Astyanax mexicanus: one gene and its partner. The protein of the gene in region 1 interacts with the protein of each later gene in a biochemical or structural test. Links are inferred from orthologs where the notes say so. Each region holds a gene or a part of one and is shown on either strand. Other genes may lie near its edges. The genes, in order: ibtk and btk.

Region 1 (7,886 bases):
TTTGAGGCTCATCACAAGTCAAGTTCACTTTGTCAGCAACAAAATCATATTTCTGTAACCATGTCACCATGTCCTTCATTACGCAGTCACAAACCCATGGGTTATCTGCCAGGTAGAGTCGAAGCCCAGGTATCTGGCTGAAATCGGCCAAAGTCCCATTGGGTATCTTCTTCAGAATGTTGTCCCGCAGGTCAAGATGGTTTAACCCTTGACTTCTGAAAGTGACATTTTTTATTGAGATTATTGAATTGTTCCTCAAGTCCAAAGTGCTTAGGTCAGGTAAACTGGTAATGGTATCTGGAAGCAGGATCAGGTCACTGCTGGACAGGTTAAGAAGGGAAAGTTTAGGAACACTGTGCTTTAAAATGTTGGAAATTATGCCCGTGTACGAAACGTTGTACAAAGAGCGACTGAGGTTTAAGACCTTAAGCTTATTGTTCTCTGGGAAAGCATCAGGGCTGAAATTCAGCATCCTGTTGTTGCTCAGGTCTAGTGAATGGAGACTGGGCAAGTTGTCAAACACTCCAGGGTCCACTTGCTCTATTTGGTTTCCAGACAGATAGAGGTCTGTCAAAAACTCTAGAGGAGCAGGGAATGAGTCCTCAGTTAGATGGGTAATGTTGTTTCCATTGAGGAAAAGTGCTGTTGTGTTTGGTGGTAGAGGCTGTGGAATGGATATTAAGTTCTGGTAAAGGCATTTTACCGTTGTTGATGTGCAAATACATTTATCAGGACAGTCCAGAGAAGAGACTGGGACAAAGAATGACAGAACAAGCAGCAGGCAGAGAGTCAGGAGGCGGTGGTGAGCATGTTTCTCTTTCACTACCAACATGTTTGCATTTAAATGACAAATGAAGGTGACTGAATCCCAGAAAGAGTGTAACACAATTGTCTAAGTAGAAAAACGAAGACAGGTCTGCTACAGAGGCTCAGTGTTTATTTCAAATTCCTGGAGTACAGTCACATTCCTCCCATTCCTCCCTCTGGACTTCTGACTTACGTAGTAACGGGGTTGAGGCAAAAAACACAAGCTAACATGGAATCCAGCAGTTTAAAAGGTCTCAGACTCACACAGTCTTCATTATTCCTCTTCTTTGTTGAGTTTTAGAGCTGGTAGTTGAGCTGGCGGTGCTGCTTCTCCTTCATCACTTCAGGCAAAAGTTAAATCTGCTCCAGTCTACTTAGATACCTCCCCGCAGTCCCTCCAAAACAACAGAAATTACCTCCTCTGGGTGAACTGTTCAGGTTTTAACCGTTTGGTCGCGCTGATATACATCCAGAACCATCCAACTTTTCCCTTTCCCTTGTGGATTCTGTAATCTTTTCGGATTTTCATGACACTGGTTTTGAGCGCAGCACCCGGACTCCGCCGAGTTGGATTCCTCCTCCTCGCCCGTTCCCTACAGCCTGTCCACAGACCGCTGAGTGGACTCAACCATTACAGCAGCGGACGGGGGAGCCCGCGAGACTCACCACACACACACCACACTTAACACACCCAACATTACCCGCACGACAGCGTGGTCTATCTGGTTCACGACCCAACCTTCGATTTTTTTTAGCTATTTACACTCTGTGTACATCAAAGACAATATTCAAAATCATTATTAATCTACTTTTACACTGTACGGAAACAAACGCGATGGAATACCCCTGTAATACTATTTGGAATGTTCCCAGGAAAAAATACATGGGCCTATCTAATTTTACTGTCTAAGTTTTTCTAGCTGACTAAATAGATACACATTTGCCACAACAATACATTTTAATCTTTTTAAAGCCCATTCCTGCCTCCTAAAAATAAAAATGAGACATCATTTTGAGATACTAAGTCATTATTTTGATGTTATATAGTAATTTTAAGATACTGTCCCAATAGTTTAAGATATTATATCATTATTTTAGGTACATCTTAATTTAGAGATGTTTTCCATTAATTTTAAGATACTCTCACATTATTCTGAGGGGTTTTCTCGTTATTTTAGGATACTAGTTCATTGTTTTGAGATGTAATCTCATTATTCTAAGATGCTATCTCATTATGTTGCGATACTATCACATTTTGAGATGTTATCTTTTATTTTGAGATGCCATTTAATTTTGAGATACCTAATATATCATCAATTTGGTCATTTCATTATTTTGAGAAGTTGTCTCATTATTTTTAGATGTTACCTTATTAAGTTGAGTCATTATTCTGAAGTCAGTAAAAACTTTAATTTGTTCAAAATAACAACTTAATATCTCAAAATAATGAGATAGCAGTTTATGTAATAATGAGAAAAAAACATCTACAATATTTTAGTTAATGCATTCAGCTACCTAAGTTTCACTTATTGCTAAAAAAAAAAAAAGAGGTGCAATAGCACACACATGTCTAGTCCCTGTAGAGAAGTATTGCCAATAGAAATGGATTCTCTGGAAAAGATAAGCATGAACCAATTGGTGCCATGCCTAATGCCTGACATGGGCTACAGGTGGAGTAGAAGTGGGGCAGTGGAACTGTGTTCACTGGGCTGATGGCATCCTCTTGGTTTCAGATGAAACAATGTTTCTAATACTTTCAACAAAAGTAAAACAGACATTGAAATGCTTAAATTCACAGATCCTTTTTTTTTTGGGTGGACATAAAACAATGTAAAGTTTGTAGAACATTTTTTGGGTATTAATAAGCATTGTACCTAAGCAAAAGTAAACATACATTGTGATTTAAAAGGACAATAAGACAGTACTATACTGGTGCTGATGGAATAAAATCTCCAAATTTGGCCACTTTACAGGAGAAAGAAAAATATTCCTTTAAACTTTAAATCACAAAAGAGAGAACAGGTTTCATTTCCAGACCAAAAACGATATCCTACTTTAAATTCATTAATAATATGTAATTGCAATTAAATATTATTTATTGCTCAAACATGGATTCAAATTTCTATTAAAAATCAAATTAAACTGCTCTGATCTAAACACACTCTGATCACATGAGGCCGAGCATTGTCCTGCACCAGGATGAATTTGGGGCCAACAGTCAGACAGTGGCTCTATGGATTTCATATTGGTACCCAACAGTAGGATTGTACAACCCTCCTTGTGCAATCCAAAGGAGCAGATACTGGTCCTGCTGCTGGGTTAGTGACCTTTTTTAAAGAGAGTATTTTAGGATTTACAAGTGATATTTATAATTGAGGAGAATATATTTAGATATCAGTAGTGGCTATGTTTTTACTTGGGGTGCCAAATATCTGAATATCCGTTTTCTGGCTTGTGAATCATGTCCTGCAACCCCACACTCCTGCACTACTCCTGCTGTTCTAATTCTGGTTCAGTTGGCCAACCTGAGTCCCTGAGTACTGGAGTAAGGTCACTCCTGCAGCATATCACTACCCACAACAGCTGACCGAGAGAGTGCTCAGTTTGCACCCAGATAGTAGTCTGAATTACATAAGCCACAAAGCAGTGCTATTAGTGACATAACTGAAGGACACTTTTATTTATGCATATTATCCAGAAAGTTTAAAGTGGTAAAAAAAAATCCCAGACAAACATTAACCTTAGTGATGGTACTTTCAATGTAGAGTCAGAATCAGAATACTGTGTAGGCCAGGACTAGGTCTACATTTTTGTATAAAACACTGACTCATTGACTAATTGTCCTAAAGATGACAACGACCACTTATCCAACATTCCGTCTGACACCAAAGGTTAAATTGGGAATTTTAAATTGGGCATTGTGACCTCTTCAGGTTGGTATAAGCTCTGAGTATGTTTTACATGTGTTTGTCTTTGAGCATATGATTACAGCCAACCTCATTCTCATGTTAGTCCAATTTAGGCCTCATGTGCAGTGAATAACCCAGATGGGGCCCATGTTTAACACCTCCTGGTCTCATTACAGACTTGATGGGGTCCATCACTGACATTCATATGTGGAACCCATGGACAAACCTTTTTGATTTCCAGTTGGGCTACCCATAAAGGCCTTATTACCTGGGACCCAGGGGTTTCAGAAGCATTTTTAATGGGGGGTGGGGATGTATGGTCTTTGGATCCTTCCCCATAAAGTGCTTATGAATTAGATGCCATTTTCTGCATTCTGGTGTATTCTTAACAGGTTGTTCAACACCTAATTTTACTTACAAAAGTGACTTAAGTAAATAACTATTTCAGGGTCCGACACTATTCCCTTGTTAGTTTATTCCCTTGTTTTTATTATATTTAAAGCACATCCTATTTTTCTACCTAAAACATCCTAAAATACCTAAAATACAATTTTATTTTTTACATTATGTTGTTAGCATATATGAGGCCCTGGCAACTAAACTAACATAACTGAGAGGTAGATTTATTTGTAAAACATGCTATATCTGCTTGTACTGTAGTAAACATTTTTTTCTCTCTAAAACACCCCAAAATACAATTTCGTATATTTTTATATAATCAACCACAAAATCTGATCAATTTCTTTACCTGGTCGACGTTTTTATCAAGAGCTCCCATCTGAATGCTAGGTCTCTCTCTCTCTGCTCCCCGCTGCTCTCAACGCAGTTCCTAGCCCCGCCCACTACTTAGGCTTAACAGAAGTTAGTGAATTAAAATGTTAAAGCACAAATAAACTGTCGCACAAATAAAAAATAACCCTTTTTTACATCATATTTTTTATGAATGCTTATATTTCGAAAAAGACACTGTGGTAAATGTCCAGTGATGGAAACCTGTAGGTTACAGCTCTCGGTCAACGATTCTGTCCAGCCGGTGACGCAGGCGGGGGGACACCCTCGTGCTATCAGTGCCCCACATATGGGAGGAGAAGTTGCAGCACAGGGCTCCTCTAAACCTATCGACTTCCAGCCATGGGCACACTGAGTGCAGAAGTCGCTCATATTAAAATAGACATTTTTTAGATTGCTGAATGAGAAACTAGGCTACTTGTTATGTTTATAATCTAGACAGCTTTAAAGCTCTGGACTTTATGAGCCACATCCCCACAGCAGTCAGAGAGGCAGAGTCCAATAGAGGCGGAGGATACAGGATCCCCGGAGCCAATCCCAGCGCTCCTTACTGCTCTCTCGGTCTGTAACCTGTCCGGTCTGCAGCGCTACAGATCATTTATAAAAGCTAAAACATTCCTCTGAAGATGTGTCTGTGGATTTGCTACACTGACTCCGACTCAAACCCCAGTTTCTCCTTCATCTAACGGCAGGTGGGTGACAGAGCGGGAGCTCTGGGCCGGGCTGCTGTGAGGGTTTACAGCCTGTTTAACTGGTGATGTCATCCCAAATATGCTAAGCTAACGTCAGCTAGTTAGCCTAGCTTAGCTTTCTTCTCTTAACTTTGTAAAGTATTCCCCTAACTAGCTACTAACTATTCATGCCTTATATGCAGCCCTTAGCAAGAGTAGTTAGGCCCGTTTTATTTAAGAATATGTAGTTATAATTGTTTGTATATATCAGTGCATGCACACCTCTGTGTTGCAAAACAGTTAGCCCGCTAGCTAGCAGGTTAATGTCAGTTTGATAACTAGCTCTTCAAGTTACCCAACATTAGCTAAGTTTGTAACATAAACAGCTCTGTTCAAAGCTATAGCTAAAGCTAACACAACAGTGTTGTGTGACAAGTCCTGTAGCTACTTTTGGAGGAACATTTTGACTCTGAAATCCACAGCCTACATGTCAAGAGACACTCTTAACTCATAAAAAAAAACATTTTTTTATTCACAATATTCTTCCTTAACTTGAGAAGATGAGGGATTTGTTTTGTTGCTGAAGCTATAATTATGTGTGCAAAAATTACTGATGTATTATGTCTGTGCTCTACAGACATTATGTATATATGTGGCGCCATAGATATGATTGCATGGAGCATTATTCACTGTCTCACCACCGTTCTGACACATCCACACAAACCACTTCATACAACTACTCAAATGCCTTGTAGATTTGTAGAAATGTGAAGCGTTAAATTTGATCCATACAGGTAATCTAGTGAATCAATTTGCCAGTTTGAATGGAATTGCCCTGAAGATTAATCTCCCGAAATTGAAATGATCGGAAAAATAAAGTAAAAAAACAAAACAAAAAACTAACAAAAACATTACACATTACTTGAAAATTTGTAAAATTGTACTGGTACTGTTTTTAGCAGAGTAATGGAAAAAATATAAATATTTTTGTTGGTGTATTTACAGATGAAATACTTAGAAACATAGGTAAAGTTTATTAACAAAGTTTACTATGCACTAGGGGTGTCACGATCTCGATATTTTATCGAAATCGAATCGAAATGAGGTCACGATCTCGAGTATCGAAGTCAAAAAGAGGATCGACGATCCCTCCCGCGCGCGCTACGCAAATAGCGCAGCGCGCTACGCAAATGGCGCGGCACCAACACAGCGCATCCTATTCATTTAAATAGAGATAGCCACTGCATAAGCGCAGTCGGCGGGAGTGTGATCACTGTTTTTATCTGTCCAACGGGGGAGGGGGGGGGCGGGGGTTGGGCGCGCAGGTTTTGTATCTGTATCTAACGGAGGGGTGGGTGCGCGCAGGTGAGAGCGTGTGAACTCGCTGAAATGCGTGTGTCAGTGTGACTTGAGAACACTGACTATAGATCACAGTGAGGTGGATTAAAAATCTTAAACTTATAATTGACTACACCTGTTGCTTTCCATTGAATTAAAAAAACATCTTTCTCTCAGATAAAGTAAACACAAGCGTGTTTCTGACTAAAATAAAAGCTTTTCAGGAGAGATATAAGTTATGTGTAAATATTTATAAGACAATACCCACATCACTTATCTAACCAGCCTGTACTGATTTCTGCCCCCCAATAATGCTTTCAATAACCTCTTGTAACCCCTGGGAGCCAGGGGTTACACTCTAATAGCCTTTAATAGTCTTCAGTAGCCTTTAAAAGACTTACCTGGCGGCGTGGTGTGTCCACTAAACTCCGTAGTTATAAACATCCTGAGGTTAGCAGCGCGCTAACTGACCTGTTTATAATGTATTCCGAGCAGTGCCTCCGTGTCGGCTGTTCTAACCTGCTGCTGTTAGCTGCTTGGGCTGAAAGATGAACTGTAGTGAGCTGTATTATCCGGTTAGTGGGGTTAAAACCTTTATTTGTTTACAGAAACAGTAAAAACGGACTGGCTGAGCTCTGTAGCCCGTGGCTGGGCTGTACTGAAGTAGTGACTGAGTGAAAAGAGCGGGGCTTGTGCTGCTGCTGCTAGTGGTTGGATGAAGAACTGCAGCTTCATGTAATGAGCAGTTTCACCAGCCATCCACACACAGCTCTGATAAACTGCTTATTTTAATAGTGCACACTGTTGCTACCAAAAAAAGTCACTAGATGGCATTACCATATATATCTTAATAAATAATAATAATAATATTTATAATATTTATAATAATAATAATAATAATAATAAATATATTATTTAAATTTTATGAGGCATAAAATAATAACAAGAAAAAAAAACAAGAAAATCGAGAATCGAATCGAATCGTGACCCTCAAATCGAAAATGAAATCGAATCGAGGATTTAGAGAATCGTGACACCCCTACTATGCACAAAATGACAAACCCACAACACATTATTCTAACCCATAAAACATAAAAAAAAACTTTGTGAACAATTCTTGGAAAATACAGCATGCATCTTTTTAACTTGTGAATTAATCTGATGATTGTTATTTTCTGCACAGGTACCGTTTACAATTATGGAGGCTTAAAAAGATTAGTGTTGGGGGGAAGGAGTCTTTCCCCTCAAACTGGATGGACTGTTTTGATGGACTTTTTGGGTGGTTGAAGAGTTTGTTGCCTTTTGCACAATGATCTAAACTAGACTACAAGTGAAACAAGTATTTTTGAATAACTGAGAATATATTTATAAA
Region 2 (7,902 bases), on another chromosome or scaffold:
TCTCCCACACCCTGAACTGATCAGATCATTTGATTTTAGGGTAATGATCTGTATCAGGAGTGTTATTAAGCTAATTAATATTGCTAATCAACATTAAATGTGATTTAGGTCATTTTAATGGCTTTCTAATACTAGATTCCTTCACTTAACTAATCTCCACCATTGTCTTGTCCCCAATTTCACTATAATATACTACATTAAACTAATTAGCTATTTAATTTACTTAAAAACAAAAATCAATCATAAGACTACTACAACATAAATGCAACATCTATAACCTGTAACCTTCATTAATAAGCAGTAAACTTACCTAAATACTTTAAATTAGATTGTATTTTGATTAGGAATAATATATTAGCATAATCATGCTCTTGATATAGACCGTTATCCTAAAGGGGTACAATCAGATGATCTGATTTGCTGAGCATTGTTAGATGGTGATTTATGAGAAAAAAAGTCAATTTTTTAAAGATTATTTTATTATTTTTGTCTGTAGTGTTGTAAGACATTATGTTTGACAATAGAACAGGCTGTACTAAATGTCTTTACTTATCATAACTAGCAGGACAGACACCACAGAGAGCCTATTTGTAGATTTTATTTAATAAAACACCCAGAAGAACTGAAGTTTACTGAATGTTGAATGAACATACATTTTTACATTTATTTCGGATGTAGGAATTAGTTTTTTGTTTTCGATTTTACACCTTTATTTTAATCTTGACTTATATTAATTATGTATGTCTTTTTTAAATTCCCTTCTACTTTCGTATAGCCTGTACTGTTATACGGCAGTGTAGAAAGTGACATAATTATATAATTATTATTATTGTTATTAAATTAATTGTTTGTGGGGAGCTCCCTTCTCCTAAGAGCGCTATTATAATTGTAGACTCAGATCCCCAGCTATTTCAAATCTATAAACTTTGAATGAATGCAGATTCATTGTCAAATTTTACACTTAAGTGACCCTCACAAGAATATGTTAAGTGAAGGTTGTTTTTCCATCATCAACTAAGCTAATTAAGGATCTGTGTTGTCTTCAAACCAGGTCTCTGGACACGATGGGACGCCACTTTGGAGATTTGGCCAAGGTCCGGCACATAATCACCTACAGCATCTCTCCGTTTGAGCAGAGAGCTTTCGCCAACTACTTTTCAAAGGGAATTCCCAACGTTTGGAGACGATTCAGAGCATCCGTCTTCAAGGTTGCACCACGTAAGTTCCTTCAGCACCATCAAATCTGTGTACAGATTTAACAGAAATGTATAAGGGCATTTCTGTGTGAGGGACATGCATTAGAAACAGGATTTAATAGAGTAGAGACATGTCTCTATGTGCCTGCTCCACAATGTTCTAGTTAAGTTAAATCAGTTTTTTAAACTGTTTTGCCACATCAGCCTCTTAAGTACACAAAATTCTTAAAAGCAGAATTTAACATATCTAACCAGCACAGTAACATCATTCTGATAATAAACATCAACTGTTATTTGTCTAAAGAACAGCTGGCATTGCCTGCATTGGCAATTATCTCTAAATTTTCGTTTTGTTTTCATAATAAAAGTCCCAAATACTGTGTGGAAAGGTTAGTATAGCTTTCAGTATCATTTAGTATCAGTGAACAACCAATCATACTGTTAAGATGAAATCTGTAATATAGTGGAAACCTTTTAGTGTCCTATTTAACCACCATTAATTTAATGCAGTTTATGATCTATTCTTTTTTTGGAATATTTTAGTGTAAAAATGTTATGATCTTTGCAAAATGTGTTTATGCAGGAACGTGCAGGAAGTGGCAGATGAGGCAGTCGTATCTTGTGTAATTTTTCTTTTTGTCGGACTGAGTTTAAGTTTTATCTTTGCTGTACCACCCCTCATTAAGCTTATCTGTTAATTACCAATTTAATATTGAGTGATTCAGAATGAAAATAATCAATAATTAACCCTAGTTTATCTCTATCACTTTACATTAGGGCTTTTTTTGCCTGCTTAAAGGGCAATTATAAATACACAATAGAAAACTTAATAATAAACCACTTAATAAAATCACTTAATAATAAACAACCAATTGTTTTTTTTGGATTTACATTTTTCTTTCTTAAATTCACATTGTGCTTAGCACTTGTCTAGGAACGTTTCCAATTGTTAACACAAATAAAAATAAATACAATTTAAAATATGCTTAACTTAGTGTTTCTTGTAAATATAAAAAAGGCATTAATAAATAAATAAATAAACATTGCCTACGTTTACCTTTATTTTTTAGCTTATTAATATAACAGCTCTGTATTTTTACTGATATATATAGTAATAAATAAACAAACCATTTATGAAGTCTAGAGTAACCTTAAGGGCATGCTTATGACCATTATAATAAACTGCCCACACATTCAACAGCAGTGAAACAGAAACGTAGACCTCCGCAGGGCTCTTGTTATGTCAGCAGACAAGTAAAGGACATTAAGGACACTTAATTAAAGGTTAATCTCATTGATTTCCGCTTGGTTAATCTTGCGTTGTCTCGGGTCATGCTCTTTTTCTCTTTTCTCTTTTTGTGGGTGAGGTAAATGCGTTGTGCCACTTTCAAAGTAGTCAGGGTAAAATACAATGTTGTTTAAGCTTTATTATTTATTCCTTGATTCAAAGAAAATGCCTCAATACTTTATTTGTAATCGAGATACTCTTAATTACTGGTTAAAAAATATTATAAATAATACATCTGTGCATTTCCCCATTAAAATATACAATAGCAACATACAGTTTTTTACTCATAAACACACACACACACACACGTTACTTTTTTTCTTTTTCATTTTAAATAACAGTTTTGGTATTTATTTAAGTGTAGGAACTGTATTGATTATGTTTGGGTGATTTAATATTTCCTTTACTCTCTTTCACAGCCATGGTTCTGATGTACCTGACCTACACTTGGGGCAATCACGTCCACGAGCAGGGCAAGAGGAAGAACCTCGCCGACCACGAGCATGAAAATTAAATCCTATCACTGTCCCTTTTGTCCATGTTTAATGTTTATTATATTATTAAATGATCTATAAAGATATTCTCATGTCTTCATTTTGTAGTAGGTTTATATTTGTTATGAAAAGTGAGATTTTGAGAAAATTTTGACTATTTGACTAGAACTACAATTACATCAGCTCAGAGTTACATTACATTACATTACATTACATTTGGCAGACGCTTTTGTCCAAAGCGACTTACAATAGAGACGTACAAAAGTAATAGAAGTTAAAAGTAAAACATCTTTTAGGTAGGGCTTAAAGGAGGTCATAGGGGAAATAATGGGGTAGAGGAGTGAAGAAGGGGAAGAAGGAAAAGAGGGTTAATTGAGTAATTTAGCTCTACACAATGAAGCTCTCAGGATGTAATAAACATTTTATCATTAAAGGTTGTTAAAGGGTTAGGGTCAACATTTTATCTGATCTATTTTAGACCTGCTATAATCAATTTTGATTATAGTTTTAGTTGATTTTTAGTTTTATTACCAATGTCTGCACTGATGATTTAAAAATTGTATGGTCATAAAAAATTTGCCTTGAAAGCATGAAATAGTCATGAAAAATATAATGGAAATGTATTGGTTAAAAAGTGCATGAACGCTGCAGGAAGGATCAATCTGCCTAGTTAGGAAGTGTAGGTAATTGTAAATTAGGTTTGAGGTGTTAACTTATGTACAAATACTTAATTGTCTTACTTAAGTAGGAATGTTGGTTATCTATACTTTACTAAAGTAATCATATATTTTCACACAATTATGTCCTTTTTTACTCCTTACATTTTAAAAATAGCCTCATTATTCCTGTTTCATTTCAGCTTGTTTTCATGCCAGCTTCTCGTCATTTAATAAAACCCCTATAGTGTGAATCTGATTGTGATTGAATGAGAAGTATAAACATATATCATGTACTAATTTTATTAATTAATCATGTGTGTGGTTAATTTTGGGCGTTACATGACATAAACCAGAGTGTCTCTTTCTCATCATTCTCTTTAAGAGTAGATCAGGTGTGCTCTGACTTTGGTGGATTGCTATTGTAACGGTGCAGCTACCTGGACGTGTTCAACAAACTCTTCTCAGCAGAGGAAACTGAGCTGCTGGTTGACGCTGTGAAGGAGCTCCAGCAGCTCATTTACGGGAACAGCAATGTTATTTTATTTAATTATTCAAACAAATCTGGGTGTACGCTTGGCTATTTATAGGTTTATGTTTGAGTAAAATGGACATTGTTGTTTTATTCTATAAACTACAGACAACATTTCTCCCGAATTTCAAATAAAAATATTGTCACTTAGAGTACTTAGAGAAACGGCTAAAATAACAAAAAATATGCAGAGCTTTCAGACCTCAAATAATGCAAAGAAAACAAGTTCATATTCATAAAGGTTTAGGAGTTCAAAAATAATCAATAATTGGTTAAATAACCCTGGTTTTTAATCCGTTTTTATGCATCTTGGCATCATGTTCTCCTCCACCAGTCTTACACACTGCTTTTGGATAACTTTGTATTTTTTTTTCTCAGCTGTAGTGCTGTCGCTCTGCAGGCTAGTGGAGGTGCTAAAGTATTTTAACAGTGTATAACAGAGCGTTATATGAAAATGAGCAGGAAGCAAAAGGGGAACTGATGAAAAGTCCTGTGAAAGGGTGGGGTTTAACTCAACTGCAGCTCGTATTCACCCTCACTCAGCACCAGTAACACACGGAAACCAGTGAGTGCCAGCTCAGAGACCGGGCATCAGACTGGGTTAACGGGTCAGAGAGGATCTGGGAGTCAGGTAAGCACTGACTGGGTATGGGGGTGGGGGTCATATTTGAGATCTGGTGGTGCAATATCAGTATTTAAAATGTTTAAAATATGTATTTTTTAGATTTCTATTGGGACAAATCTGAGATCAGCACATATAATCAATACAAAAATATAATAATATAAAAAAAAACACTCCTAGATATACAGTAATTGCAATTTTCATAAAAAAATCTGTGCATATGCAATAAAAATACATACAATTAACAAATGAACACTATACACTGTGTTTATTGTACAGAGCAGCATAAAACAAAATATCAGGCTGTGGGAATAACTGTATAATATATTTTATTTCCTCAGTACACTGTACATAATAATATAATGTATTATATATAATGAAGGGAGGTATGACAAGGTTTGAGGGTTCATTTTTGAGACCGGTTGGTGCAATATGTGCAATATCAGTATTTAAAGATGTTTAGAATATGTCTGTTTTAGTTTTTTTTGTTGGGAAAATGTAATGGGCAGAAAATATAATTAATCAAACAATATATTCAGAGTAATAAAGTACTCTACATACACTCCTAGATATACAGTAATTGCAGTATAATCAAACAAACAATATTCTAGAGTTATTAATCACTCTACGTACACTCATATATACACAGTAATTTTTGCAGTTTTTATTCAATTTCTGTGCATATGCAATAAAAATACATACAACTAACAAATAAACACTCTACACTGTGTTTATGGAACAGGGCAGCGTAAAACAGAATATCAGGCTGTGAGAATAACTGTATAATGACTGATATTTACTCAGTACACTGTTAAATATATAATATAATGGAGGGAGGAATGACAAGGTTAGGGGGTTAATTTTTGAGACCTGTTAGTGCAATATGTGCAATATTAGTATTTAAAAATGTTTAGAATATGTTTGTTTTAGTTTTTTAGTTGGGAAAATTTAAACAGCAGAAAATATAATTAATAAAAAAATATATTTAGAGTAATAAAGTACTCTACATACATACTAGGTATGCAGTATTTGCAGTTTTCATAATAAAATACATATAATTTACAAATAAACACTCTACACTGTCTTTATTGCACAGAGCAGCGTAAAACAGAATATGAGGCTGTGGGAATAACTGTATAATGACTGATATTTACTTAGTATACTGTTAAATATATAATATAATGGAGGGAGGTATGACGAGGTTAAAGGGGTTCATTTTTGAGACCTGTTGGTGCAATATCAGTATTTAAAGATGTTTAGAATGTGTTTGTTTTAGTTTTTGTTGGGAAAATTTAAAGAGCAAGAAATCAAACAAACAAAATATTCAAGAGTTATTAATTATCCTACGTACACTTAAAACTTAAAGAGCAGGAAATATAATCAAACAAACAATATATTCAGAGTAATAAAGTAATCTACATACATACTAGATATACAATATTTGCAGTTTTCATTAAAAAATGAAAACTGTGCACATGCAATGAGAATAAATAAAATGAACACCGAAACACTCTACACTGTGTTTATGGCACAGAACAGCATAAAACAGAATATCAGGCTGTGAGAGTAACTATATAATGACCAATATTTACTCAACACACTGTTGCATAATATAATGGGGGGAGGTATGATGGGGTTAGCAGGTTCATTTTTAAGACCTAGTGGTGCAATATCAGTATTTAAAATTATTCAAAATATGTTTGCTTTAAAAAAGTTTAAAGAGCATAAAATATAATCAAACAAACAATATATTCAGAGAATTAAAGTACTCTACATACACTCCTAGATATGCAGTATTTGCAGTTTTTAAAATTGTATAAAAACTTGTGTATATACAATAACAAAACAAAAAGCTGACAAGCTGAAGATATTTAGCATTAGTATTAGACCTTCTCCAGTAATGTATGGCTACTATATTTTTTTATTATTTAAATGAATAAATAATTTATTATTATTATTAAATAGGTTTTATTTTTTGCGTGCTGTTTTATCATTATTTAAAAAAGCTTTACAAACACATTTTATTTATTCGATTTACTGATTTTATCATTATTCCTTCTGAATAAATGAATTATTATATATACATTCTACTTTACAAACCTCTTAGCTATATAACAAGAATAATATACTGCACTGTGGCTTAACCATTCAGGCAGATGGGGACTGGTTGTGCAATATAATCAATATATATATTATAAACTGTTCAGACTATGGCTTATTTAATTTTCTTTTAAGAAAATTAAGAGAGCAAAATAGAATAATAAAATTTTCATAATAAGATTATACAGCTCTGGAAAAAAATAAGAAAGCACTTAAAATTATTAGTTTCTTTGATTTTACCAAATTGAAAACCTCTGGAATATAATCAAGAGGAAGACGGATGATCACAAACCATCAAACCACCAAACTGAACTGCTTGAATTTTTACACCAGGAGTAAAGCAGCATAAAGTTATCCAAAAGCAGTGTGTAAGACTGGTGGAGGAGAACATGATGCCAAGATGCATGAAAACAAAAACTGTGATTAAAAACCAACCAACTATTTAAACTTTATGAATATGAACTGATTCAGAAACTGAAGTGGTCTCTTATTTTTTTCCAGAGCTGTATATACATAAGCACACTCCTAGATATATAGTAATTGCTGGTTTTCATTAAAAACCTGTGCATATACAAAAAAACACTAAATGATGAATAAACACTACACTGTTTACAGAGCAGTGTAAAACAGAGAGTCAGGCTGTGAGAGTTATACAGTAAACAGCTTTAAACGCTTTATTTGTGCCTCAACATACAACATAACAAGACAAGACAACCATATTTAACAAAACAAAAAGGAAATGTGTTTATACAGTATCTCAGAAAAGGAAGTACACCCCTCACATTTTTGTAAATATGTTATTATATCTTTTCATAGGAAACACTAAAGATATGAGACTTTAATACAGTGTAGAGTAGTCAGTGAACAGCTACAGTATAACAGTGTACATTTACTGTTCCCTCAAAATAACTCAACACACAAACATTAGACATTAATGTCTAAACCGCTTTAACAAAAGTGAGTACACCACTAAGTGTAAATGCTCAAATTGTGCCCAATTAGCCATTTTTCCCT

What was found.
Region 2: the proteins of ibtk (region 1) and btk form a complex in vitro, tested with the Homo sapiens proteins (2 studies listed by BioGRID). The link is inferred for Astyanax mexicanus from reciprocal best matches to the Homo sapiens genes IBTK and BTK.

Annotation. Positions count from the first base shown.
Region 1 is NC_064413.1:27,035,483-27,043,368, forward strand, and holds the start of ibtk (inhibitor of Bruton tyrosine kinase), read left to right. Parts: upstream 1-4,814; 5' UTR 4,815-5,197; intron 5,198-7,697; 5' UTR 7,698-7,886. Other genes in the region: tpbgb (trophoblast glycoprotein b), read right to left, coding at 1-832. UniProt on the Homo sapiens protein: Acts as an inhibitor of BTK tyrosine kinase activity, thereby playing a role in B-cell development. Down-regulates BTK kinase activity, leading to interference with BTK-mediated calcium mobilization and NF-kappa-B-driven transcription.
Region 2 is NC_064417.1:53,807,618-53,815,519, forward strand, and holds the start of btk (tyrosine-protein kinase BTK), read left to right. Parts: upstream 1-4,686; 5' UTR 4,687-4,797; intron 4,798-7,902. Other genes in the region: cytochrome b-c1 complex subunit 8, read left to right, coding at 1,065-1,218, 2,904-2,998. UniProt on the Homo sapiens protein: Non-receptor tyrosine kinase indispensable for B lymphocyte development, differentiation and signaling. Binding of antigen to the B-cell antigen receptor (BCR) triggers signaling that ultimately leads to B-cell activation.